4 linked regions of the Drosophila melanogaster genome follow. The protein of the gene in region 2 purifies or fractionates together with the protein of the main gene of each other region. This does not show direct contact. Each region holds a gene or a part of one and is shown on either strand. Other genes may lie near its edges. The genes, in order: Psf2, Mcm7, Sld5 and Cdc45.

Region 1 (3,230 bases), on a different chromosome or scaffold from region 2:
ATCAATCAGGGACACCTCGCACTGCATCTTTTGGATGGTCTCATCAATACCGGCCAGCGATTGCTCGTTGGGGAAGAGCTGGTTGATGTAGTCCACAGTGTTGAAGTCCGGCGCATCCATCGGATCGTCCGTTTTGAGAACCTTTTATGGACATTCGAATTGGGTTGGTAATTGCTACCAACATATGTTCCACTGACTCACCTTGTCGATGACCTGCTTCACCTCCTTGGAGAAATGGATTTTGTTGTTAGCAACCATCCTTTCTTCCGGCTCCACCGCTACCGCAGACTCGCTCATCTCGCTTTATCCTTATTTATTTGTATAAAAAAGTTATTGTTATTCTCTTCGTGGAAAACCAGGGATACAGTGCAATTATATGATAGCAGCTGCTGTTAAATTGCTGTCGTGCTGTAAGGCGCAGTCCTGTTAGATAAGCGCATATCGATAAAGAAATTTATCGGAATTTGAAATGCCTTATCAAAAACTTCTAATTCTAATTACTTTTTTTAATTTTCTGAAAGCATTTATATTTAATTTTAAGCATACAAATATTTTTGAACTTTTGAGAGGTTTAATGACTACAGGCTACATAAGCTCCTGCTAATAACTAAATCTATTATCTTAAATGTTCCCAACAATGTTGTTTGACTGGAATAATCACTGAGAAAACAGAGAGTTACTGTTCGGACCCGAACTGGAGCCTGCCATGGATGCACTTAGCATGGAGGTGTCCCTTTGAGACGCAGTGGCCGTGCGCTGGTACCGTGCTATGTGGTCCAGGGAATAGGGCAGAATGGGTCTCACGCTGTGGATCTCCAGAAGCGTGAGGTTGTCTAGCTTTGCATATGTGCCCTCTCCCTTGATAAAGGCGTCGATCGAAGTGCGCAGCTTGGACTCGCGTATGTCGAAGATGTCCTTGATCACAGTGCGCAGCTCCTCGCAACGCGGAACGTCATCCGGAGCCGTGCTCATGACCAACTGGGCCACTACCATGTAATGCTCACAGGGCATTTTGGTAAAGAACCTATGGGCAGGCGGAGAATAAGATTTGCTTTCCACGGGCATACCCACATCATACATACTTTGAGCGCTTTTCCTCCTCCTTGATTTCCTCCAATATATCCATGTCCATCCATTCTGGAGGTACAATTCGGCACTTTTGTTGCTTGCGCAGATGCGTGGCCATCCACAGGGGCACGAAGACGGGAAAACCGGCTCGGAAAGGGCCCACAGGTCCGTATATCAGGTGCAGAGGCTCGTTGCTGAAGTTCGGTATTATGCTGATCATGCATTTTTCGCCAATAAATTCAATAATTGAAGGATCCATAATTGCTATAAACAAACAAAACAAATGCGGGAACATACGGTCACTCGAGCGGCCAGTGATGACACCTGTCCGCTATCGATCTCAATGCTATCGACCCAGTGATCTCTGCAGTCTGGCAGCCCAGCTCTGCTATTGACCGTTAATAACGGTGTTGTTTTCCCAACAATCTGCTTGCATCACGAATCTTTCGCCTGCGGGCTCTGCGTCAATTTAATCACGTCAAACTATAGACTTCTGCGACATAATAGCCACAGTTCGCCACTATAAATATGCCAACCGTAATTCGGCGACCTTCGGCCGGGTTATCTCACCATCATTACCACTATCGCCGGCCGGATCGGATCGCATCGCATTGCTGCACCGCTACAACCGATGGAGCTGACTAATTTGTTCTCCCGGTGCGAATGTGTTATTGCAGATTCCGGCTAAGGCGACGACAACTATCAAGAATCACGTAAAACGCCAGCCGGGCATCGTGATAAGCGCATGAATGCCAAACATGATCAAGCGTTCAAGTTCAGCCAAGTTTTCCGTTCTATAATATATAAGCTGCCCGGGCGTAATCCCTTGCACCACTTCGCCGTAAAATCCGAGACTAAAATGCACTAGATAGCCTTATCGGTCTTGTATCTTTCCGGGCAAATAAAACTATACGCCCGGTAATGAACTCCAGAAATGGCGGTCATTACAAGGTTAGATCTGCACTAGCTGGAATCCCAAACTGAACAGATTTCAACTGCAATCTGCAGACAACTTCGATAGAGAAACGAAAATAGAAATACAAATCTTCTGTGTACAATTCGGATGTTCTTTATAAGGCTGAGCCCGAAGCGTAAACAACAGCATCGATTTGTTGACTTATCGCATCGAGAGACAACATCGATGAGATGGAATGGGATGGGTGGTGGTTAGGGGGAGGAGGCGGAGGATGATGAGGTTGTGGCCGTCGTTGCCGTGAAATGTTCCCGAGCTGATAATACCAGGCACGGCCAGTTAATTCTAGAAAACTATCTGCGGTGTGTAAACTGCGGCACCGATAGTTCAGATCACATCCCCATGACATCTAACCCCTTCAAGGATCAATTGGGTGAACACTTGGCCACTAGGCCAGGACAGAAGCGGTAGGTATTCTCCTGCGCAGGTTTCGATTCTCTCACATCCGCTGGGAAAAATGTAATCAGCGCGAGAGGAGCAGATGCCGGACGATTTTCTGATAAGCCGGAGAGTGGACTGTGGAACCCATGATGGAATGGGTGGAGGGGGTTGGCTGGCTGGCATTAATTTTTAGCAGAAAAGTGCGACTTGATCGCCTAGTTGGCTTAGTGCTTGTCTATTTTCGGCAGGGTACGGAGCTGCTGGCTCTCGCGACCATCGAAACTAACGTAATCGACTCACCGCCAATCAGCCAGGAAAATTGCCTGCCATTTCCACGTAGAATTGCATCTGAGAGTAGCTTTGATAAGAAGGCAGTGATTGACTTGGCTTCGAGCAGTCTTCAGTCATCGATCAGCGCATCTCGAACCAAATTCGGCAACGGTCGCTCTCGCTTCGGAAGAACGGACTCGTTCATTGATAAGCCTGGATTTGAACTAGACGGTTGTCTAACCTCCACATCCGCGAATTTTCCCATACGCTGTTGTCAAAAATTATGTGCTAGACTTGACCGCAGGAGAAGATTCGTTTAACTCTTCTACAGCTAGCTTACCAAGGATCACGATGCCCGACACGGAAATCATCGTTACCAATGCCGGGGAGCCCTCCACCAAGGCGAGTCTCATCGTGGTATCCAATCGGTTGCCGTTTGTGCTTATCCGAGATCCGAAGACCGATGAGTTGGAACGCAGGGCCAGGTGGGTACATTAAAAAAAAAAGACTTATATAATCCAGTTTAACAAATACGTGT
Region 2 (9,095 bases):
ATGATTGACAGATTATAGATAGCAGTCGATAAATGGTAATTAAAAGGGGAGTCTAATAAAGAACATCTGATTCCAATACAGCAAAAACTAGTATTCATTTATTGGTAGAAAATATATTTATAGAACTTATTAAAGCCTTATTAAAGTAAAAACTTTTACTGGTATTTATTTTACTTGTTTTTTTAGCAACAAATTGCTAACTTAACCTTTTTTGGGGTTTAATAATGCCAGTAATGGAATCACTTTTTTAAGTAGATTTCAGCTTGTATTTCAGCAACTTTATTCATATTTCATTTTACCTGGCAAGGATAACAGCCATATTAAATTGTATTTCATTAACTAAAAGCTTACTCATGCCCAGAAATAAAGAGCAATGGCAACAATTCTTTTTTCCAAGTGGGCGGAAGTGGAAGTCCCAGCCAGTCCATTAGGGCAAAAGTTCCCAGCAAATCCCAGCAGGGGAAACTTTTGGCGGCAAAGTGATTAAATTTCGCTAGGACTAACAATAACCATAACAATATTTTCATGGATGCTTTTCTCTCTGATTTCATTGCGGCAGGTCACGTCCTGGAATTGGCGCAGATTTCGGAGAACATGACCCACTCGCTCTTTTCGAAGGTTTATACCCGTATGGTGCCTTCATCGCGTATGATGATCCATCAACTGTACACCGAAATCATGAAGTAAGTGCTCGTATTTACTCTAATAAAACAACGAACTAGCTGTATTTAATTAATTCGAGTATAGAAGTTTAATTCTAATTGAGTAATTTCTCCTTTAGCCATCTGATTTACACCTCCAACTATACGAACAGCAATGGCCAACTGGGCAGGCGAGGAATTGGCAGTGTCCAGAGCAACTTGGAGGAGGCTGTCAGGCACTTCTTTGTTCAGTTGTTCCCCGTGGCCTACCACCAGATGGTCCATCTGTCCAAGAACAATTTGGGTGACTTGCACGAGGACTACGTTAACTGCCTGCAGCACAACTTCGACGAGATGCATCCATTCGGGGACATTCCCCAGCAAGTGCAGTCCAACTTGGGCAAGAGTGTCCATATGTCCAATGTCTTCATGAATGCCCTGCTCCAGGCCGCCGAGGTCCTCAGCGAAGCGGATGCCCTTTATGGCGAACAACTGACGGACACGTGCAAACTGCATCTCCTCAAGATGCACTACTGCCCCAACTGCAATGGACACCATTCAAGTTCTAGGAGCGAAACGAAATTGTGCTACGGCTACTGCAAGAACGTAATGCGGTAAGTTGAAATGCGGAAAGGGGTTTCGATATGTTCAAAAGATTATATCAATTTATTTACATATATTTTCAAAACTATAAATTGTTATACCGACCATTTGTAATGCCTCTGTTTTATGATCTTCAGCGGCTGTTCGGCGGAATATGCCGGACTACTGGACAGTCCCTGGTCAGGTGTAGTCGACTCCCTGAACAATCTGGTCACCACCCATATTCTCTCGGACACCGGCATCATTAATGTCATCAAACACCTGCAGACTTATTTCTCTGAGGCAATCATGGCTGCCATGCACAATGGGCCTGAACTGGAAAAAAAGGTAAGTAGATCCTTTCAAAAATTTAAGAGCAAACGAGCGAATAAGCGAAGCTTTAAATAACTTGCTCACATTAAGTATTCATTAAGTGCACTCGATTTTAAATCGCATTATCTCTTATTGCATAAACATATAAGATGTATGAGTGGAAGATATTTCAAGGACACAGCTCTGATTTTCAGACATCTATCTGCAGATGCGATCGATTTCGTTAACTGGCGTCCCAAGGACACGATCGTTTAATGGTTTAATTGCCAGTTAATTTATGAACATTTTAAATGAATTTAATGGATCGGAATTCAGTTCCGGCCTTCGAACTTGTTCTGCTCGCTGCAGCGGCAGTAGTCTTTAAAAAAATATCTTTGGCATTTCGAGATCTTGTTAAACATGCACATGACATCCAATTGATAGCCGTTCGCACGATTGGCATGTTGCCGGGAATTTAAAATGCTAAATTCGAGTGGAGTCAGAGTTCAGTTCAGTTTAGTCCCGTACCCACCATAAAGTTGCAATTTACATGCAGGGCGATGAGCACTTGGTCAGCTTAATATAATGGGTCAGTTGGGAGGCGGGCAGACACGTGCGCCTTGCATGAGCGGCGGCGATTAGCAAGTGGAAATGGAACCCCCCAAACCGAAGCTCTACATGGTTAACATTCCCCCAATTGTCTTGCAGGTAAAGAAGACATGTGGCACGCCCAGCCTGACGCCCTATTCGTCCGGAGAACCGGATGCGCGGCCTCCGCCCCACAAGAACAACGTAAAGTGGGCCACTGACCCGGATCCGGGCATGGTCCTCTTCCTGTCCACCATCGACAAGAGCAAGGAGTTCTACACGACCATCGTGGACAAGTGAGTATTTAGACGATGCCACAAACTATATTGATTGGGTTGGGATTTCAACTAGCAACTACATTGACTGACCAAACTATGACTTAAAAAGGATAGTGTCCTTGGCGAGGATTAACGCTTCTTGGGCTTGGTTATCATGGCGATCACGTCCTTCAACAGGCAAAAGTACAACGGCGTCACAATGGCCACAAAGAAAATCAAATTGGCGAAAAATCCATTCTTCACTGGCACACGACAGCCCTGAAAATTAGAATTAAATATTATATTAACCAAATTCGAAGCTTAATTATATGCTTTAATATTTAAAACTTACATGTCGAGGTATCGGTGGCATTGGGCGAGCCAAGCAAAAGTCGTGGGCCAAATGATGCATCCACAATACTAGCTCCTTGAACATTTTGTTTTTTTTTTTAAACTTATTGAACAACACAGAATAGTTGTTGTGAATTTCAAAACAACGAAATAGTGAATTGTAACAACAAGCTTACTAAGCTCATATAACTTTTTCATTCATCAGCTTCTGCGATGAGCAACAGCACTCTCGTGACGATCACTCCTGCTGGTCAGGCGATCGTTTCGGGGACTACACTCAGCTGCTGATTAATCCGGGCACTGATAGCCAGCGATATAATCCCGAGGTGCCCTTCAATGCGAAGGCTCAGACCGGCAAGCTGAACGAGCTGGTCGACAAGCTCTTCAAGATTCGCAAGAGCATTGGAGCTGCGGTAAGTTTGGTCCACCATTTGGGCATTTGGAACACTTTATTCATTTTTCGGCACACCTCCACAGGCACCTTCCAACAGCATACAGGCGACGCACGACATCCAGAATGATATGGGTGAGGGCTCCGGCGGCGGAGAAGGTCAGATCGGCGACGATGAGGAGGAGTATGGAGGCGCACATGGTTCCGGAGATGGTTCCGGCGATGGTAAGTTGTTACAAATCTTTAAAAGTCCCTACATGGTCGCTTCCTTCCGTAAAAAAAAAAAAAAACATTCCTCTTAACCCATTTTCTTGTTTTATTTTCAGGACCCCATACGCCCATCGAGGAATCCGAAGGCACCACCACCAACGAAGTGGAGTCGCGTGACAGCGGCAAGACCAGTGGGTCCAACCCACTGGAAGGCACCGCGACGTGGATGCTCCTCACTCTAGTCACAATGCTCTTTAGTAGCTGTAGTTAAGGATGCTGCCCCAGCCCAAGGGATTGAACACAAAAAACGCAATGCCCCCCACTGTGCGAGGGCAATGAATGATGTAACCAGAAGAAGAGCAACAGCAGATGCACACGAATCGAGTTAAATCATTAATTAATAACTATTATCATTATTATTATTATTTGTGTAATTCTTAAGTTGTTACAAGTAATTTATAGGCCCTAAGCGCATTCATCTAGCAATCGACTAACAACTTTACAAACCAGAAGCGAACCGTGAAACCCTTGAAGTGCACCTCTCCTTCTAGCTTTTCCAAATTTGATGCTCATCGAACTTCCATGCCGAATCCAACTAGACTTGTGTGCCATATAAATGCGTTGGATATTTGCATACGAATCGAGCAATTGCTAAACACAACTAACTAAAAACGAAAATTAAACTAAATAGGCTCGCAATCAAGCAGAATCCCTTTTCCATAGAGTGTGCAGTTTGTTCAGATACATGTTAATATATATAGCGTACAGTACACAAAGCTCAATGTTCAAAGCAAGTTGTTCCTTTTCGGTGTAATTACACAAGTAAACAGATCTAAAATCAGAGGCGTGGCACCACATTCAATTGCTAGGTTTTTTGGGGGCGATCACAATATATTATATACGTAAAGGATATAAATCTGTTAGCTGTAGCTCAGTGAATGTTAAACTAAAATGAAATTATTGTTGTCTACACCTTTCGAACTGAACGAATGCGAACAATTTTGAAATTGATCAATTGGGTAATCGAAATGCGAAATGCATACGAATGGAATTTAGTTGAGTAAACGCACGGAAAAACTAGAAGACTTACAGCTTTATACGCAAACAAAAACGAAAAAAAAAACGAAGGCAAATCGATGAAAATCTATTGATATATTAATACGTATATTATATGTAGCATTACTTAAATTATATGAACAAAGAGAGAAGACGACCTTGGGGGGATAACAAATGGAAAAAATGTCATACAATGCATTCAGCTAATTAGAGTTCACAGAGCACTTGGATTTCTTCTTGGGGAGAGAGTGCAGAAAATGCAGAGTTCAGCGCACAAATCACAGTTCGCAAATTTGCAATTTCAATCGAAACTAATGTTGCAATCTTACGGATACTTTACAGTGGGGCAGAGCGCTGCTGAATCAAATCCAGAGAGCAGCGCTGGCGGCACTCTAAAAAAAAAAACAAGTAAATATATATATATACAAATGAATATGAAATATGCATTAAAACGAGTATGGCGCCAGCGATAAGAATGCAGTCTATATATATACATATATATATATATAAATACATAAATGAATTAACTAATTAAATCGTAATTATATGCTAGTGCGTAAACGTAACGATTAGCGCGTAATGTGTAAAAAGCAAACAGTTGAACGAAAACAACAAATTTAGTTAGTAGCAAATTAACAAAGGAAACGCCAACTGCCGCCGCACACAAATTGGCATATAGGCATATATACATACATATATCGCATATACACTTCGATTCGATCGAAATTAGATCGTATTGTGCCGGCGAGCTGGTTGAACTATGTATAATTATTATTTGTATCATTATTATTTAACTATTGCATGTGATTAATAATATTTAAGTTAAACGTAAACGCAACATATTAAATTGTAACTCGTTGTAAATCTATTCGGAGATAACCAATGCGAATCGAAAATTGCACTAAAAATAAATGTACTACTTTTAGATGCCTAAAAACCAATAAATAATTATGTAACAAGAAACGCAAGTCCAAGAAGTTTATTGAAAGCGATACGCAATAGTGCTATGAGTGTAACGGCAGACAAGCGAAAATGAGAACTTTTGTAAATTTCATTTAAAACCTGAATAAACGTCAATATTTGAAATTCAAATTTAGCGCGTCTTAATTATGCAAGCAGGTGGCAACACCATTGAACTCAGCATTCTTGACTAGAATCGAATACACATGTGTAGAATTGCGGGTGGCAACTTCCATCATATGAAGAAGTCAGAGTGGCAGCTCCGGACATGTAAGCAAATACTCTACATGTTTCCCGACATTAAAAGTACGTGTATTTTAAAGATATAATGATATGGTAATAAATATTTAAAAGTGTAAGTTTATGGTTCACGAACATTTAAATGTATTAATTTTGAAGTTATCTATAATTACAATTATCTATAACAACAATTTTCATTATACATTCTACATATGTAATTATGTAAAAATATAACGATAGTTTTATATTTTTAATTTATCTCACATCTCAATCTATAGTACCATCTCTAATCAAACGCGTTTTTGGCGGGAAGCGTTTACATTCTCATTGTTTTCCCCGCATTTCCCAGCAAACAGCGTCCGAAAAAACACCTTTGGCAAGCAGCTGTACGCAATTTGTTGTTCATTGTTGAAAGTACAAAAAAAAAAAAAAAACCAAGCCCAAAATGGCTCGACGAGATTATGCCCAAGACCGAGGTAAGTACAAAGAAGTCTTTATCTTGGACGAAGCATCAAACATTCAATGTTTGTTGATTTGCAGAATCTATCAAGACCTTCCTTTCGGAATTCTGCAAGTGCGACGATGATGGCAAAAAGGAGTTCGTCTACGGATCTCAGCTGGTGAAGTTGGCCCATCGAGAGCAAGTTCTGATCACCATCGATCTGGATGATCTGGCGGAATTCAATGAAAGTCTCGCGGAGGCGGTGGTCGACAATTGTCGGCGATACACGTCCATATTCAGCGATGTAATTGCTGAACTCCTGCCCAGCTACAAACAGCAGGAGGTACACGCCAAGGATGCTCTGGATGTGTACATTGAGCACCGCCTGATGATGGAGTCCCGCACCAGGAATCCCATGGAACAGCGCGATGAGCGGAACTCTTTCCCCTCGGAGCTGATGAAGCGATTGTAAGTTTTTCAATTGAGCGATTTTCGCAGTTTTCCTCCGAATCTAACTCTAAAAATCGAACTCCTTTTAGCGAGGTGGGCTTCAAACCACTGTCCACAGAGAAGGCGCACTCTATTCGCGAGGTTAAGGCCCAGCACATTGGTAAACTGGTCACCGTTCGCGGCATTGTTACACGCTGCACGGAGGTTAAGCCCATGATGGTGGTTGCCACCTACACATGCGATCGCTGTGGCTCGGAGACGTATCAGCCAGTTAACTCGCTATCCTTCACGCCCGTGCACGATTGCCCGTCGGATGATTGCCGAGTGAACAAAGCGGGAGGTCGTCTGTATCTGCAGACCCGCGGCTCCAAGTTCGTCAAGTTCCAGGAGGTCAAAATGCAGGAGCACAGCGACCAGGTGCCCGTGGGCCACATTCCGCGCAGCATGACCATCATGTGCAGGGGTGAGGTCACTCGAATGGCCCAGCCTGGGGATCACATTGTGGTCTCTGGAGTGTTCTTGCCACTAATGCGCACAGGTTTCGCTCAGATGATTCAGGGTTTGCTCTCGGAGACATTCCTTCAAGCTCACGTGAGTTACCTCGTTTAAGTGCAACAATATTATATAAATGTTTAATATATTGTTACCTTCCTAATAGCGCATCATCTGTATCAACAAGAACGACGAGATTTCGGACAAGGATGCCGAGCTGACTCCAGAAGAGCTGGAGGAATTGGCCCAGGATGACTTCTACGAGCGCTTGGCCACCAGCTTGGCACCCGAAATCTATGGCCATTTGGATGTTAAGAAAGCGCTGCTCTTGCTGTTGGTCGGAGGAGTTGACAAGCGGCCCGATGGCATGAAGATTCGTGGCAACATTAACATCTGCCTGATGGGAGATCCCGGTGTGGCCAAGTCGCAGCTGCTGGGCTACATTAGCCGATTGGCCGTGCGATCGCAGTACACCACAGGGCGAGGTTCTTCGGGGGTGGGTCTTACCGCTGCGGTCATGAAGGACCCTCTCACAGGCGAGATGACATTGGAAGGAGGAGCTCTTGTGCTGGCTGATCAGGGAGTCTGCTGCATTGATGAGTTCGACAAGATGGCGGATCAGGATCGTACAGCCATTCACGAGGTGATGGAACAGCAGACCATTTCGATAGCCAAAGCAGGCATCATGACGACCCTAAACGCTCGCGTTTCCATCCTGGCCGCTGCTAATCCCGCTTTTGGACGCTACAATCCTCGTCGTACCGTGGAGCAGAACATTCAGCTTCCCGCAGCCCTGCTCTCACGTTTCGATCTGCTGTGGCTCATCCAGGATAAACCGGATCGCGATAATGATTTGCGCTTGGCCAAGCACATAACCTATGTGCATAGCCACAGCAAACAGCCACCCACTCGAGTAAAGGCTCTGGACATGAATCTTATGCGGCGCTACATTAACCTGTGCAAGCGCAAGAATCCAACTATTCCGGATGAGCTCACCGACTACATTGTGGGAGCTTATGTGGAGTTGCGTCGGGAGGCGCGCAACCAGAAGGACATGACCTTCACCTCGGCACGTAACTTGTTGGGAATCCTGCGGTTGTCCACCGCTTTGGCTAGGTTGCGTCTTTCCGATAGCGTGGAGAAAGATGATGTGGCTGAAGCACTGCGTCTGCTGGAGATGTCTAAGGACTCGCTCAACCAAATCCACGAGCACCAGAAGGGACAGTAAGTAGTTGCAAAGGATGTAAGTAAATCCTTGTGCTAACAAAAATATTTCTCATTTTCAGCGTACCCAACACTTCGGATCGAATCTTTGCCATCGTTCGTGAACTGGCTGGCTCTGGAAAGGCAGTCAAAATCTCCGACATCATGGACCGCTGCACAACCAAAGGATTCAAGCCCGACCAGGTGGACAAATGCATCGATGATTACGAGGAGCTCAATGTCTGGCAGGTCAACATGGGACGCACGAAGATCACATTCATGTAGATCGCACGCTTCATCCCACATCTTACATTTAGTAAATAAGTTTATGTCTCTTTATCGCCAATCGTTAAAACTACTCTCATACATTGTCACTTTACCATTTATCATTGTCATAAATAAATAAGAATTTTGTATTTGACTTGAGGAGTGTGTCTCCTTTGTTCCAAAATGTATGCTGTTTTTCTGGTTAATATGATTTTATTTTATATACTTTTTAAAAGACATCCAAATAACAATACACACTTTTGCAAATTGCATTTAAAACTACAATAGATCTGTTGAATTCCACAGCTTAATCAAGTTACGAGAACAGCCCATGATCCTTGCCTATAAATTCGATGTATTATTCCTTTCAGGACCTCACACAATACGATCGTCACATACACACACGATCCACGTCACTGTGGGACAACGATTTACACACACATAGAGATATATTAAAAATGGTGCAATTTTTCTACTAAGGACGATACACAGATTTTGTTATAAAGCCAAGTTCCTTCGAACGAAGGGATCTACATGCTCTTATTGAAGCTCAGGGCGGCTCGGAGTTTATTCCGGACTCGCGGCGAGTTCCATCGATTTCCGCCTGCCGATCTCAAACCGACGACGGATCGCAACTCGTTTGGGGATATACC
Region 3 (6,630 bases), on a different chromosome or scaffold from region 2:
AAACACAGTGAAATGGCAGCCGGACTGACTAGCTGACTGGATCTTTGGCTCTTTGGATGGATAACTGACTGACCTACCGACAGTGTTGCAATATAGAAAGCATTGAGGTACCTTTTATCCAATTAGGTACACTTAAGCCCTTTTTTCTTTTTAAAATGGAAGTAAGTTTTTGTTAAGTTATTTTACTATAACTAAAATTTAAGCTGTCTAAACAAAGTTGTCTCCTAGGTACAACTTAGTGTACCAATTTCGACGATTTATTGCATGTATGTGAATGTACCTGGTCATCCCAGTTAACCCAACATATCCGCCTGATTGCCGGATTGCCCGCAAAAGGGCGCTGACAACTAGTTGTCAACGCGATGTTGGCCACTCACCGGACAGCTTCAACGCCTTGAAGGCGTGCGGCACAGCGAGATCGGGCGCGGGCAGATCCAAGAAGACCGCATCGGCCTTTCCGTCCAGTTCCGCACCAAAGCCCAGATTGCAAACGTCCCGGTGATAGACGGTGACGAAGTCAGCGATACCATGTCGCCGGAACTCGTCGCGTGCCTGATCCGCTCGAGCTTCGTGGAAATCGAAGGTGTGCAGGTGGCCAGTGGGTTTCAGTGCTCTTAGAAAGTAATGCGATAGAGACCCCGATCCCGTGCCCGACTCAACCACCACGGCACCGGGTCGGACCTCCAGCTGGTGGATAATCATACTAATATCCGGCGTGTAAATAATCTGTGTGCGGTGGGGCAGTGTTTGTGTCCAGAGTTCCGGCGTCGGCTGAAGGACATGGGCCCAGCCCTTGGAGAGCTCCACTTTACTACCATACTCCACGCCGATGATATCTGGAATAGGAATTGGGATTAGGAGAATCCGTTAAATCTATAACTTTAACTTACTTTCAACTTTTAGCGATCCATAATTGGTCTGAAAAATATGCGGTATTGTTTCGCCCTTTTTGTTCACTATTTCGGGCACCGCTTCGATGGCATGCATGGAACTGACACTCAAATAAAGGATGACCACATCGCCCTTTTCTATGTGGGTCTTGGGTTTCAGAAAACTCATGTTTTTAGTTAAAAACCGTAAGAAGATTTTTTTATTTACAAAATAGCCGCGTGTTTAAGCAATAGAGATGGAAGTTTGGTAATCAACAGGCTATCGATAAGTTTAAGTAAAGTGGCGGGTCAGGGCTACACAAAGTCCAATAATGCATATTTGTACTTTTTGGAAGTTTACATACTAAAAAGTTTAGTAGAACGAATAAACAACTGGTTTTGGTACTAAATAATATATATTGTGTCAGTTAAATGTGTTCGAGATAAATGTTTTGAAATTATCGATAGCAATTAATATCATCAATTTTTCTTCCAGCTCTAGCTTCTCTTCTTCCTTCTTTTGATTTCCGGAGAGGTTTGTGTTTTAATTGTAATGATTATTTTGATTGCAAAAAGCGCTTTAGTGACGTTAATTGCGATGCAAAACTAGACTACCATGTAGTGGCAACGCACTTCTGATGTTTCGTCTTTGTTCTGTTTTTTTCCATGAATTCCTTGGAAATGGTGTTTATTCCGGGTGGTCAATTGGATTCAGAAGCTTTAAAATGGTCCAACGCTTGACTCTGAGACGACGTCTGTCGTACAACACCCGCTCCAACAAGAGGCGCATGTGAGTAGCAGGAGATATGCTGTATATCCCACGATAACTAAGGATTTTCCATTTGTTTACAGTGTGCGCACTCCCGGAGGCCGTCTGGTGTACCAGTACGTGAAGAAGAACCCCACTGTGCCACGCTGTGGTCAGTGCAAGGAGAAACTCCACGGGATCACCCCCTCCCGGCCCAGCGAGCGTCCCAGGATGTCCAAGCGTTTGAAGACCGTCTCCAGGACCTACGGAGGTGTCCTGTGCCACAGCTGCCTGCGAGAGAGAATCGTCCGCGCTTTCCTCATCGAAGAGCAGAAGATCGTCAAGGCTCTGAAGAGCCAGCGCGAGGCTTTGGTCAAGCCCGTCAAGAAGGTTGTGGAGAAGAAGCCGGTGAAGGCTGCCGCCAAGAAGCCCGCGGGAAAGGCAGCCGGAAAGCCAGGTGCCAAAGTCGCCGGCAAGAAGCCCGCTCCCAAGGGCGCTCCTAAAGGAGTCGTCAAGTCCAAGAAGTAACCATTTACCAGAAGGATTTGTTTGGAGCAATGATATTGAACACCTTTTTTTTGTAATAAAGAAACCACAAATTGAAGAAATTAACGTTTTAATTGACAGCTTATTTCCCATTGTTATTAACTTCAAAAACTTAACAAGCGCTTAATTTAAAACATAAATGTGATTATGAAGAATGCTCATTTTTAAACATTTGAATTCTTCAATCAGCTGTTCACGAGATAAACAGCCGGTGAATGCTTCTTCTTCATAAATTGTCATTAACTTTCTCCGTTGACATGTGAGCATTTCAGATTGGTTAAAACTTTTATGATGCCACAAATTGCAAATAAACCAAATGAATCGTAAGTTTAACCATTTAACAAAGAAATAAACATAAATTTAGTAATAAATATTCGCCTCATTAGCATAATAAGAGTGCCGTTTGAGACGCCACGATTGGCCGAGATCGCCTACAAAGTCCTCGGTGTCGACCAGGAGCCGCGCCGGAATTTCGTGAAAAAAACTTTGAGCCTGGAGAACGATGTTCTGGTTGTGCACTTTCAGTCGGATCAAGTGAAGAGCCTGCGCACTGCCATCACCTCCTTCTTTGAGTGCCTGCTCCTGTGCCAGGACACCATCAACCAGTTCGGAGACTCCAAGAAAGAGAAACTAATCCCCGAGAGCAACGACAATGCCGGAACACACTCCAGCTCCGACTCCCCATAGGGCGGTCTATGGTTTCGCCTTCTATATGCTGTTCACGGTCCTCTTCCTCGTATACGTGACTTGGGCGCTGCTGCCAGTGGAGTTTGGTCTGCACTCGTATCTGCCGGACAAGTATTTTGCCGTATTTGTGCCTTTTCTGGTGCTGGTCTTCGCCTGGTTCTTTGCCTTCCTCATCTATCCTGCCATAAATCTATCGATGACAGTGGATGTTGATTCCATTGCCTCGGTGGTGGATCCAAAGCTGGCACTGCCCAAGGGGACAGAGTTCACCTCCTGGTCGCAGTTGCAAAAAGGCAAGGTCAGCCAGGATTCCGCATCAAAGAAGGCCTCTCCAGTGAACTGCAACCTGTGCAGGACTTTCCACCAACCTGTGACACGTGCACCTATTCCACCACTGCGTTTTCTGGACCTCCAGGAAGTAAATACAGCGTATTATAACTAAAAAACTAGCAGGTTTCTTTTTAATCATCCCGACGAAATTCATTTTCTTCGCACGGTGGTCCAGCCGTCTTCCGGTTCCACAAACTCCTCAGCCTGCTGCTTTCGTGCCTGCGATCGCGTCATCCGACCACTGCCGCTGGGAGTTTCCTCGTCGCCCTGGCCCATTTCATTATCGTCCTCCTCGTCGCTGTCGTCCATGTCCTCATCGGATGAGGAGTCCCCATCGATGGGTGTGTAGGTGATCTTAACATCCGGACGCAGCCACTCCTTGCCAGCAGGAAGTTTACTCAATTCAGCCTCTATTTGCGGAAACTGGTTCTGCTGGGCCATCAATTTGTAGCGCAGCAGATTCCGGCAGATCTCCGGAATGGAGTCGTCGTCGCAGAGGGTGTTAAACTCCTGGTCCATCAGCTCCTCCAGGACCTCCACCAGTTCGCCTTGCGTGATATTTTCGTTGGACACGCAGTACTGGTAGGTGTAGTCCATGATTTCTATGGCCACCTACAAAACGGACACTCCGATTAGGTTAGAAAAGAAGACGGTTTCAGGGTATACGAGCAACAACCTGTTGGCCATTGCGTCCGCCCATGCCATGCTCCACCGCCAGCCGGAGATCCTGCCAGTGATTGAAGATCTTCTCTACAATCACTCTAAAATTCTTTTGGAATTCAGTTTGTTGTGCGGCTGCCATCGCATGCTTTTGTGATATCGATAACGGTTAGACGTGCCATTCACACGGAGTAAAAACAAATGAAACAGTGATGAAAAACGTCAACTGTATTACTGGAGTGACATTCCCAACGATTCCCAAAATTTGCGCCAAAATCTGCAAAATAATAAACAAATAAATAAAACCATGTCGGATGTAGAAGACGTGCCCGAAACCCAGTTAGAAATCGATGTCAGCGATGGCGCCGGACTGGAGGATGAGGATGATGACGATATGGAACAGATTACAGCTCAGAAGGTAAGGTAAATCGTAACACAGCTTTTTAATACGCAAGTAATCACATTCTGATATCCCTAGGTTCTGGAAATCATAGAAACCGCGTGGATAAATGAAATGTGTGCGCCGGAGATCCTGCCCAGCCAGACGGACATGCTGGAGCTGATGGTCTCCCAGGTGGCCCACATGGAGGAGCAGATGCGCGATCTGGACAAGAACGATTTCCGAGCGGTGGTGCACTCCATGGAACTGGAGAGGGTGCGCTACATAATGGCCAGTTATCTGCGTTGCCGCCTGCAGAAGATCGAAACCTTCACGCAGCACATCCTCAACCAGGAGGAGAGCCGTGAGCCGGATGACAAACGTCTGTCTCCCGAGGAGACTAAGTTCGCCCAGGAGTTTGCCAGTAATGTGGATGAGTACTTCCACAAAGTAGCCACCCAGTACATGCCCAACCAGCAGAGAGGAGAGGCGGAGCAGAGGATTGTGACGCCCAATCTGATGAGCCATGTCTTTCTTAAGGCAAATGTGGCAGGTAATAACCTTTTGTCATCTAATTAAGATAACCGCTTAACTCTTGTTTTGCTTTCCAGTGCCCGCTGTGATCGTGGGCGTCGATGATGAGGAGGTGGACATGGCGGCCGGCTCCCAGCATATTATTCCCTACCAACTAGTGGCCGACTTGATACAAAACAACCAAGCGCAGCTAATTTAAAAGACTTATTTAGCAGGTAATATACATGATAATAAAAAAAATTAAAAATCAAACTCTGCAAAGCTGCATGTTTAAGGGTACATTTAAAAATGTTGTAGAAGAATATTTAAATTAAATTTAATTTATTTAATATCGAACCGGAAGTAAACTGCATAAAATGCCATTCAAATTGGTTCGCTTCCCGCTAAAGCCGGCGCCAGTGTTGCCGAACGGACGCCCGCGAACAGCTGCGCTTGTGCGTGACGTCACAGGGTGTTACGTTTCCAGTGGAAAACAGTGGTGAGGTGTACTGCAGGCGGCATACACATAAACCACGCATTCAATTTGCCTTCAGTTTGGTTCAGTCGTCAATGTGGCGGGCTTTGGCACGAACGACGTTGAGAGCAGTAGCCAACGATTGCGGTTCACCAGGAGTCGGTCTCGCACCATCAGCGCTGACGCAGCACCAATTGCGACATTCCAAGGCCAGCAATAGGTTCATCACCACCACCTCCACAGCCCCACCACACAATATCGGAATCATGAGCGTAGAGAAGCCAAAGATTGTCTTTGTTTTGGGCGGTCCCGGGGCCGGCAAGGGCACCCAATGCTCCAGGATCGTGGATCGCTTCCAATTCACCCATCTCTCGGCCGGCGATCTCCTGCGCGAGGAGCGGTCGCGGGAGGGCTCCGAATTCGGTAACCTCATCGAGGACTACATTCGCAATGGCAAAATTGTGCCCGTCGAGGTCACGTGTTCGCTGCTGGAGAACGCCATGAAGGCGTCGGGAAAGTCGCGGTTCCTCATCGACGGCTTCCCACGCAATCAGGATAATCTGGACGGTTGGAACCGCCAGATGTCCGAGAAGGTGGACTTCCAGTTTGTCCTCTTCTTCGACTGCGGCGAGGATGTGTGCGTCAAACGGTGTCTGGGCCGCGGCCAGAGCGGCTCTGGCCGGACGGACGACAACCTGGACAGCCTGAAGAAGCGCATCTCGACATACAACAACGACTCGCTGCCCATCATCAAGTTCTTCGAGGGCGCCGGCCAGGTGAAACGGATCGATGCCAGTCCGGATGCGGAAGAGGTGTTCGGGGAGGTGGAAAAGATATTTGTGGCCAGCGGCTTCTAGATTTCCTGTTCATATTCCGGTTATGTGTGTAGTGCTATCCTTACCTTTCATTTGTACCCTCTAAAAAAATACATATATACGCTTGTTAATAGTAATGCATAAGGTACTTTTTCTTCACCCCGATAAGATACAAGATACACATGAAGTTTAGTATACCCAATCAAGGAAAGCGGAGGTACACACACACTTTTTAATATCGAGTAAAAAATGGAGCTAGGCAAAAGTTATTCTGGAATTATATGTTATCTAAAGCAAATGGATTGAGAACTATTTTAAATGTAGGAACGTTAAAGAGCAATAAACAATAAATTAAATCCCCTGTTCATATTATGACATTTAAAACAAGTTTTCTTATTTATACAAGTGCTATGTGATTTTCATTTTTCAAGTGTTTTACATATTTCTATAGTACCCAATAGTACAAATTTAGGAAAGTACTTCTTTTTATTCAGATAAACACAATTTTGCATTTATAGTTAAAGCTGAATATATGTATATACATATATATATAATTTCATGATTTGGAAATTCCTTTTTCTTATTTTATTGAAGACAGGCATGAAACG
Region 4 (8,599 bases), on a different chromosome or scaffold from region 2:
TGTTCCTTTGTTCCTTTGTTTTCACCAGCTTTGGTCAATTCGTCCAGCGTTGGACGACTGTCACGGTCGCCATGTAATGATGAACTCCAATTAAGAACACAAGTCCGTTTTAAGTTGAAGGCAGCCGTCGGGCTGACATATATTTATTCAATTTCTTCTTTTGATTTTAGAGTAGGCAGAAATGGTTCTGTCAGCTCAACGTCTACCGAGTCTCTCCCTGATTTTACAGTTTTTTAATATATTTGGACTTAGGCTAATCCGCGTAGCTGCGCTGCCGGGTACGCCAGCAGCGGAGCGGCGTTCTTATGTATATCTTATATATCTAGGCTTATCGGGAGAGCGAGATATGTATGTACGTATGTAATATGTATTTGGTCGGCGTGTGAATGCTGACCATGCACTTATACTTTTTGCCTTCGAGTGGGCAATGCACTTATACTTTGTGGCCTTCGAGTGGGTGATCATGTTACATCCGCCCTGGCCTAACTGCGTGCATAAACATAAACATAAACATAGCAACAAAGTGCTGCCATAAGTTAATATGCTATTTTATTTAATTGTTCTTAATATTGCATAGGCACATACTACACTCATATTTCGGGCGGTGTTTGGTTAAATTCTCATATTTCCATTATATTTATATTTGTATAAATGTAGTACATATATTATGCTAGAGGTGGCAGTTATATCGATGTTATCGCGATGCCAGAGCGGAGTTACTCAACCACGGCAGTATCGAGAAGTGCTCGACCACTGGGCTTGTATCGATAGTATCGGCGCCGTTCATCGTAGGATTCAAACACGTTTCAAGTGAAATTCATTTGCAAGTTGAGACACAATATTTATACACCTCCCAAAATTTATTCGCTGTGCCATGTGTAAAAAAAAACCATTTAATTCACAGTTACATTTCAACTAAATCTCACAACATTCCCTCAGTCAATCCTTGGCATTTGGGAACTTCAGGGTTCGCAGCTTGGAGTAAATAATGTCCCAGTCGACGTAGGCGCCCACCAAATGACGCTTGTTGCCCGGCGCATCCTCGTAAGCCGTTCTTCCGTGCAACATTCGCAGGTTGTTGAAGACGAACACATCGCCGGCTTGGGTCTTGAACTCCACCGCCTCGGACTGGGCGATCTCAAGGAACTTATCGTAGGCTTTGTACCAGGACACGGCCTGCGCCAGGGAAACGGAGAACCGGCTGTCCCGCTTAGTGGTGTTCTGGTTGATCCTCGCGAACCGGCCATCCACATCCAAACAAATTACTGGCGCTCTCCAGAGACTGTGGAAGGGCTTGGAGTCATCGCCGTCGTGTCCGATGTCAAACCAGTTAACGGGCACCGACTTGAGCACCTCGAAGTCCTCCGGATGCAGTTTTTGCAACTGCGAGGCCACGTTGAAGCCATCTGTCAGCGTATTTGCTCCACCCTTTGACTCCGACTGGACGAGGGTGTGCAGGATGTTGATGCCCGCCTTGTACTCGTAGTAGGGCATGTCGGTATGAAGCGGCAGGGGAGTCATTAGATAGGCGTAGTTGCGCGCATTTGGTTTGGATTTAACCTCGAAAACGTCGCTAGGGGAGGCGGGATAGTAGATAATTTATAGCTGAACTTGAGTAATGCAACTAAGGTGTTTTCCCTTTTAATTTATGAAATGTGGCTAGCATATTCTGTAGTAGTATCTAGCGTGAGTAAGTGGTAATCAAATCTTTATCATGAGTACAAATGGACACCTGGTTGAAAATATTTGCCTGATTCTGGCTGTAACAATCAACCGATAGTGATAATATTTAGTGGACTGATAGATAATACAGCTCTCGGCAAATGTGAGTTTTATGACCCTGGTACTGTACGATGAAGTATGTCATCTATTGGTTAATATTTACCCGTAGGTGGTGCGTTTTATGTAGCCAATTCGTTCGGCCAATTTCTTAGCCACATTTATGTCGTTGGGTGCCCCTTTCAGAATGGCGAATCCTTGGACTGCCAGTGCCTCAAGCCAAACTCTCAGGGCTGCATCTTGCTCCAGCACATCCTCGTATTGGAATTCTCTTTTCACATCCTCGAACTCCGTTTTTCCCCAGAGTTGAGCGGGTGGCTTGTAGACCTCCTCCAAGTAATGCTTTCTGCCAGTCTCTCCAAAGTCCCTTTCCCTCAGCCAGCCTAGATCGAAGGTGCTCCTGTGCTTGTCCTGCCAGATGATCTCCAACTGTTTCCTCTCCTTGTTGTAGGCCACTTGGGACACTGGTATATTCAGCGGGCCACGATCCCAGTGACTTTTTCTTGCTCTTGTGGCGGCGTGGAAGCACTCGGCACACTGACAGTTGTCCCTAAGCCAAACTTGGGGGTACTTCAGGAGATTGCCCTGCTCCTCCTGGACTTCTACATAGTCGGGGCATAGTCGCACACAAGCAAATGTGCTCGCCTGCCGAAGAAGGCTCAGCCGAGAAATAAGTTGCCTACAGCTAAGCATTCCAGGCTCAACTGCCGAGCAATCAGGTGATGGCACAACAGGCAGGCTGGCTGATAAGCAAAGCTTCAGCTTATCGCTCGTCTTTCTCTTTGGGGAGCGAGACCACTTGCACTATGGATTGCGGCTGCTCCAACCAGCAGTCTCTTTGACTGTTCGCCGCAAAGCTTCGCCGGCCGCAGCAGAGTGAGCACTCTAAGAAAAAAGAGACCTGTTCAGTACTTTCTTGGATTTGCTCCTCGGATTCCTCCTGGTTGGTGTTCCCTGTTTTCCGGCTTCTGGGCTTCTTGCGCTGCCTGCGATGGCGCTTTTTCTTCGTTTTGACTGCTCCGTTCGATTGAGCTTGTGCATCAGTCTTGGCCTCCTGTGCTCCTTCCTCCACATGCAGCTCCGTATTCACTCCGGGAATCAGGGGAAGGAAACAGCGCCTGCACAGGGAACGCTTCACGGCCGGGGCCCTTGAAACCAGTTGACGCCATGAATTATTTGCCCATACTCCACTGGAGAAGCCACTTACATGTGCATGATAGCCTTGGTGCCCACATTGCGGCAGAGTTTGCCATAATAGGCGGCCAATTTTGGTTGATTGCCTACTGCCATTAAATTCGAGGCCTGGAACAGGTAGTTCATGCGTGAGGAGATGGCCCGCTGGGTCAGGTGCTTCATCTTGTTGTCCCTGCTCATATTCTGAGGCTTTTGTCGCACAAAGCTGGTCGACTGGTAGACTTTCGTTTTTGTGGCAATTCAAAACACATGGGCGTCGCGGTGTGACCGTATCTGGAGCGCCAAGATATTGCTCCTACTGCAATAGCAGCAACTGCAAAGAGCTCTCAAAATTCAACATTATGTGATTATAATTTCGGTTTTTGGCAGCTCAAAATTTCTGGAAATTCGCAGAATATTCTTTTCCCAGCAACGATTGTATTTCCGCGCCATTCCATTATTTCACACTGGTCACACTGGCTAAGCCAGCTGTTTCCCGCGTTTTTGATTCGCCAATTGCGATTGCCAGAAAAGCAAAAGTGGAGCGGCAGTGGGAAGCTGGAAAATAGCGCAAGCCGCAGGGAAACCCTCAAAATGCAACGCACTGCACTCATGTAGAATTCTACTTTGCATCGTAAGCGATTGGAAAGAGACCGTTGTGTCTAGACGTAGACAGATTAGGCAGACGATTGGGATTCCCGCCAGAAGTGTTCACCATGTTTGTCCAGGATCTGCGCAACGACTTTTACCGCCAGCTGGTTGGCAAGCGCATCTTGATCGTGGTCAACTACGACATCGATGCCATCTGCGCCAGTCGCATCCTGCAGGCCTTGTTCAAGTACGATCACATGCTGTACACCGTGGTGCCCATAATGGGCGTTACGGGTCTGAAGCGGGCCTATGGAGAGCACCAGGGCGACGTTAAGTACGTGGTGTTGGTGAACTGCGGCGGCTGTGTAGATATTGTGGAGCTCCTGCAGCCGTCGGACGACGTGACCTTCTTCATATGCGATTCACATCGCCCGTTGGATGTGTGTAACATCTACAGCGATCGGCAGGTGTGCATCTTGGGGGATGCCTCCTTGGAGGAGAATATTCCAGCGTTCGAGACAATTTTCTATGACTCTGAAGGTGAAGACGAGGATGAGGACGAGTCCTCTGACACGGAACAGCAGCACGACGACAGTGGTGCCGGGGAATCGGACCAGGAGGATCAGGCGCCAAGGAGCCGTAAGCTCAGTCGCCTGGAGCGGCACGAGCAACGCATCCTGAAGCAGCGAGCCCGCCGACAGTGGGAGTCTGAGCGCGACAGGATTATGTTCGAGTACACGCAGTTCAGCTACTACGGCAGGTCCGCCGCTTTGATGGTTTTTGAGTTGGCCTGGAAGCTCTCAAAAGACAACATGGACCTGCTCTGGTGGGCCATTGTGGGCATCACGGAGCAGCTGCTGCTGGGCAAGATCGAGAGTGGAGCGTATACTTTGGAGCTGGAGCAAATCCAGTCGCATGTGTCCCGACTGACGAACAAAACGAATGATCAGAACACGATGAGTGCCTCCAAGATAACCTTCGAGAATGATTTGCATCTGGTCTTGTACCGCCACTGGCCCGTCACGGAATCCATGAGGTGAGCATTGACAGTGTATTCTATGCCATTTAATCATGTAGTATAATCGTAGGTATTCCCGCTACTCCTCATGCCAGCTGAAGCTGTGGACACTGCGCGGAGAGAAGAGATTACACGAGCTGCTGCTCGAGATGGGACTTCCCTTGGTGCACGCCCGCCAAACGTACGGAGCCATGGATTTGGTGTTGCGCAAGGAGTTCTTCTCGATGGTGGAGCGCCTGGCGGAGAAGTACGACATAGCGGACATAGTTTACGGCACCTTTACGCTGAGCTACGGCTACCGCAGCAGATATGCTGCGGCGGACTACGTTTATGCCCTGCTCGCCATCATGGAGTCCGTGAAGAAGCACAAGACTCCGGAGGATTGCTTTCTGGAGGCCTCGGATGCTTTGAGTCGTCAGCACAAGCAGCTGCTGTCTGCAGGCATCGACCAGGCGAAGCTTTTGCATGCTGCTGTCTTTCGGCAGGTGCAGAGCAGCTTGGAGGCACGCCAAGTTCATTCAGCGGGCTCCTTTTTCTACTACGTTCTGCAGGAGGAACACGCGTTCTTCTCATACCCCTATGCCCTTGGACTGTTGGCTCGCTTTCTTTTGCGCGGACATGTGGCCACGAGTAGAGCCAGGCAGGCTTCGGACTTGCCGTTGATCGCAAGTTGTCCCCTGAACGCTTCGGAGGGCATGTGCTTGCTGGTAGGCATTGTCCCGGTAAGGGAAGACTCTCCGCGAAACTTCTTTGGCAAGGCCTTCGAGCAGGCGGCGCAAAAGAGTGGAGTCGCTCTATTGCAGGACTTTTTCGAGCCAGCGGTGGTGCAGCTGCGGCAGAGCGACCTCACACGCTTTCTGGACTCCCTCACGGTGCTGTTAGCCTAATCCACGCCGCTTTCTATTCTACCTGCTACCGACACATCCCTGCTCAATCATATTATGTGCTAAGCTAGTTTTATATCGCGAGACCTCACGTGTACACTTAGTTTAAGATTTTACCAAACCCTATTTATGTACGATTGTGTGTTAATAACTTTATCATTGCTCCCAGGACCACAAAATGCAAAATGTCCTTTTTCAAAAACTAATTGTAAATTTGACCTAGAATAATAAATTTAAATTAAAGTGTTTACCATGGAATTAAAAGTGTCGATTCACGTCTAAAATTTACTCGGCGCTTAAATTTATGAAAACGTATTTACCATGCTATCTATACATGCCGTGTTGGCAGTTGGACTGCCTTCTTACATTTGGTTTATTTTCTGGCTCAGAGGAAACATCATTAGCTAACCAGATTTGCGGCTTGAGCTTGCTGCGTCTGTGCGTTTTTTTTCTTTAGGGGATTAGCGCTGAGGATGCGGGCCGAACCCAAACAAGCTGTGTCGTCATAGAATACGGCATATTGTCCTGGTGTAATAGCTCTTAAAGGAGCGTCCAACTCGACAAGAAAAGTGTTACTGGGAGAGATGCTCAGCTGACAGTCCACCAATGGTTTGGTGTGCTGGAATCGAAAGCGACACCTCAAGCTGCCAGTGTCCGAAAGAATCTGTTGGGACTTGGAACACAGCCAGTTGGGCGGATCGACGGCTATGTGGGTGCTGAGAAGGGCGGGATGGTTGTGGCCAGATGCCACATAGATGGTATTGCTTGCGGCCTCTTTCCTGGCCACAAAATAGGGCTGAAGGAATGAGCTCAGACGGCACCGCTGGCCCACAGTCCATTGATGGATGCCCTCGTGGTGGCCGACAACGGCTCCACTGTCGATGTCTAGGAAGGGACCACGTTTGGAAGTGATGTACTGAAAGTGGAGGGAAACCAGATTTGAGTCCGTGGTGAAATCAAGGAAATTGAGCCATGTGCTTTTTCAATCGCGGCAAGTGCTTTACCTCCTGTATGAAGTCCTTGAAGTTGCGTTTGCCAACGAAACAAATGCCAGTGCTTTCCTTCTTTTTGGCCAGTCGCTGGAAGCCAATCTTCTTGGCCAAGTCCTTGACCTGGCTCTTCTGGAAGTCTCCCAAAGGGAACATCGTGCGTTGCAGAGCCTTTCGGGAAATACCTGCCAAAAAGAATGTCTGGTCCTTGAACGTATCGGCGGGTATTAGCAAGCGGGCGTCGTTGTTGGAGGCAATCCCCTCCAGGTAGTTGCCCAGACTATTCCGGGCGTAGTGACCCGTGGCCACGGCATCGTAGCCGAGATTTTCCAAGGCGTGCTTGTGAAAGAGGTCAAACTTAATGTGGCGATTGCACAGGATGTCCGGATTTGGTGTCAAGCCCATTTGGTAATCGTCCAGAAACTGGCTGAACACCGCCGTCCAGTACTCGCGCACATAGTTCACCTGACGCAGCTCCACGCCGAGCTGCCGGCACGCCCACTCGGCGTCCTTCAGATCCGCCTCCCCACTGCAGCGACCCACTTCGTCCGCCTCATCCCAGTTGCGCATAAACACACCCAGCACCTTGAATCCTTGCTCCGCCAGCAGGTGGGCGGAAACGGCGCTGTCCACGCCGCCCGACACGCCCACCACTACGTTGCGAATCATTGGGCGGTGTTGGCAAAGCAATAATTTCAAAGTTATGTGTTTCACGTTAGACGAACAGCAGTTTTTGTTTATGCGGCAGAAACAGTTGATGTGCTTTCCGTTAGTTTTTGGTATTTATTTTGGGTATACCATGGTATTATAAACTATCGCATCGGTGGTCACACTAATAATACCGGCGTTTAATGCGCTGTCAGTTCAGTTCATTCAGTCGGGCCATGAAGCAAAGCTCCGCGCATTGTGGATTTGCGCGTGTCGAAAGGGGAAACAGCAAAAACGCCATTTTTTTCGAGTAACGGTGCGTGCGTAATTTTATCCGTTATCTTTCCTCGACAAACATTCGAACTGGGAAACAACAGGAATTCCATTTTTTCGAGTTAAGGTAGGTCAGTAATTTAACCGTAATATTTTCTCACCAAACTGTAGAAATGGGAAAGGAGCGAAACTCCATTTTTACGACCGAAACTCCATTTTTTCGAGTGAACACTGTGTGTGTTGTGTATGTGGGAGGAGTCACTTCTGAGTGCACGTTTTCCCCCTCATCCGTTATCTATCCGTCTCTTTTTTTCTGTTTTTTTCCGCAAATGGGCATGATGCAGTTTTTGAGAATTATGCTCGCATTCTAGTCGCACACGGGACTAGACACCGTGCGCATTTTGACTCGGCATTCTTACGGGGCATTGCCGGCTTCACAGCCATTTGTACAAATTGGCATTGCAGAAGTGAACTCTGTCGCTTCTGCTGCATGGATGGCGCTTGGCCATCAAGAGAAACAGAATCCCCTGAACCACAATAAAATTCTGGCATTTATACAGTGCATTGGACTTCAGGGGGATCGTTGAGTCATGAAGGGGTAGTAGTACAATAGAGCCGACTGGGTCGCAGTACACCTACAAACCCACTTAATAATAATAAGTCGCTAACAGTTGTGAAGTAAAGTGTATAAGTTGTGAAACAACAAGAACTCCATTTTTTTTTAAGGTGCGTGTGTGTGTCACGCTTTCTTTTCTCCCTCATCTGTTATTTATCCTTCCATAACAAACATTCGAAATAGGAAACAACAGCAACTCCATTTTTTTTCGAGTGAAGATGTGTGTGTGTGTGTGTGTGTTAGAGAAGAGCCACTTCTGATTGCACGTTTTCGCCCTCATCCGTTATTTATCCGTCTCTCCTTTCGTGGCAAATCGGCATACTGCAGAGTATTTCGACAAAAAGCATGAACTTTTATGCACCTGCGATGACGAATGCCCGTCGATGTTCTTTGCATGTTTTTTTGTATTTCATCATGGCTAGGGCTGCTGTCTGGGCTTGGGTCGAGGAAGGGCATCCTAGGTCGCAAATGATGGCCAAGTGGTCACTGGCAGTGTATTCCTCGCTGAGTCTCCACCACCTGAACCTGGGTCCGGCCTCTAGCATCCGCTGTCAGTGATCAGCGTGATCAGCGGTTCCGCCAGATTGGCTGGAACTGCTATTTCAGCAGTCTTCCCTCCATACTGCGT

What was found.
Region 1: the proteins of Mcm7 (region 2) and Psf2 purify together in Drosophila melanogaster (affinity purification with western blotting; 2 studies listed by BioGRID, with this or other methods). This does not show direct contact.
Region 3: the proteins of Mcm7 (region 2) and Sld5 fractionate together in Drosophila melanogaster (co-fractionation; one study listed by BioGRID). This does not show direct contact.
Region 4: the proteins of Mcm7 (region 2) and Cdc45 purify together in Drosophila melanogaster (affinity purification with western blotting; 3 studies listed by BioGRID, with this or other methods). This does not show direct contact.

What each region holds. Positions count from the first base shown.
Region 1 is NT_033779.5:4,385,682-4,388,911, forward strand, and holds Psf2 (partner of Sld five 2), read right to left. Parts: upstream 1,676-3,230; 5' UTR 1,639-1,675; intron 1,390-1,638; exon of another isoform or gene 1,333-1,389; 5' UTR 1,328-1,332; coding exon 1,083-1,327; intron 1,025-1,082; coding exon 658-1,024; 3' UTR 501-657; downstream 1-500. Other genes in the region: Vps53 (vacuolar protein sorting 53), read right to left, coding at 1-141, 202-297; Tps1 (Trehalose-6-phosphate synthase 1), read left to right, coding at 3,044-3,177. UniProt on the Drosophila melanogaster protein: The GINS complex plays an essential role in the initiation of DNA replication.
Region 2 is NT_037436.4:8,885,716-8,894,810, forward strand, and holds Mcm7 (minichromosome maintenance 7), read left to right. Parts: upstream 1-5,880; 5' UTR 5,881-6,033; coding exon 6,034-6,064; exon of another isoform or gene 6,065-6,128; coding exon 6,129-6,498; exon of another isoform or gene 6,499-6,569; coding exon 6,570-7,071; exon of another isoform or gene 7,072-7,138; coding exon 7,139-8,196; intron 8,197-8,258; coding exon 8,259-8,460; 3' UTR 8,461-8,595; downstream 8,596-9,095. Other genes in the region: dally (division abnormally delayed), read left to right, coding at 560-683, 782-1,255, 1,382-1,571, 2,244-2,419, 2,937-3,144, 3,209-3,347, 3,449-3,603; CG43169 (uncharacterized protein), read right to left, coding at 2,531-2,659, 2,733-2,816; TrpA1 (transient receptor potential cation channel A1), read right to left, coding at 8,973-9,095.
Region 3 is NT_033777.3:26,054,009-26,060,638, reverse strand, and holds Sld5 (Sld5), read left to right. Parts: upstream 1-4,091; 5' UTR 4,092-4,147; coding exon 4,148-4,258; intron 4,259-4,318; coding exon 4,319-4,772; intron 4,773-4,830; coding exon 4,831-4,952; 3' UTR 4,953-4,982; downstream 4,983-6,630. Other genes in the region: Trmt61 (tRNA methyltransferase 61), read right to left, coding at 378-836, 891-1,059; RpL34a (ribosomal protein L34a), read left to right, coding at 1,595-1,659, 1,722-2,145; Tcs6 (Threonyl-carbamoyl synthesis 6), read left to right, coding at 2,452-2,486, 2,550-2,850; PIG-P (phosphatidylinositol glycan anchor biosynthesis class P), read left to right, coding at 2,816-3,292; CG14543 (uncharacterized protein), read right to left, coding at 3,331-3,792, 3,857-3,982; Cmpk (Cytidine/uridine monophosphate kinase 1), read left to right, coding at 5,303-6,064.
Region 4 is NC_004354.4:1,025,397-1,033,995, reverse strand, and holds Cdc45 (cell division cycle 45), read left to right. Parts: upstream 1-3,439; 5' UTR 3,440-3,668; coding exon 3,669-4,579; intron 4,580-4,631; coding exon 4,632-5,448; 3' UTR 5,449-5,705; downstream 5,706-8,599. Other genes in the region: CG14630 (uncharacterized protein), read right to left, coding at 940-1,573, 1,886-2,472; Rpp21 (ribonuclease P/MRP subunit p21), read right to left, coding at 2,543-2,927, 2,987-3,153; CG3021 (uncharacterized protein), read right to left, coding at 5,846-6,361, 6,450-7,103.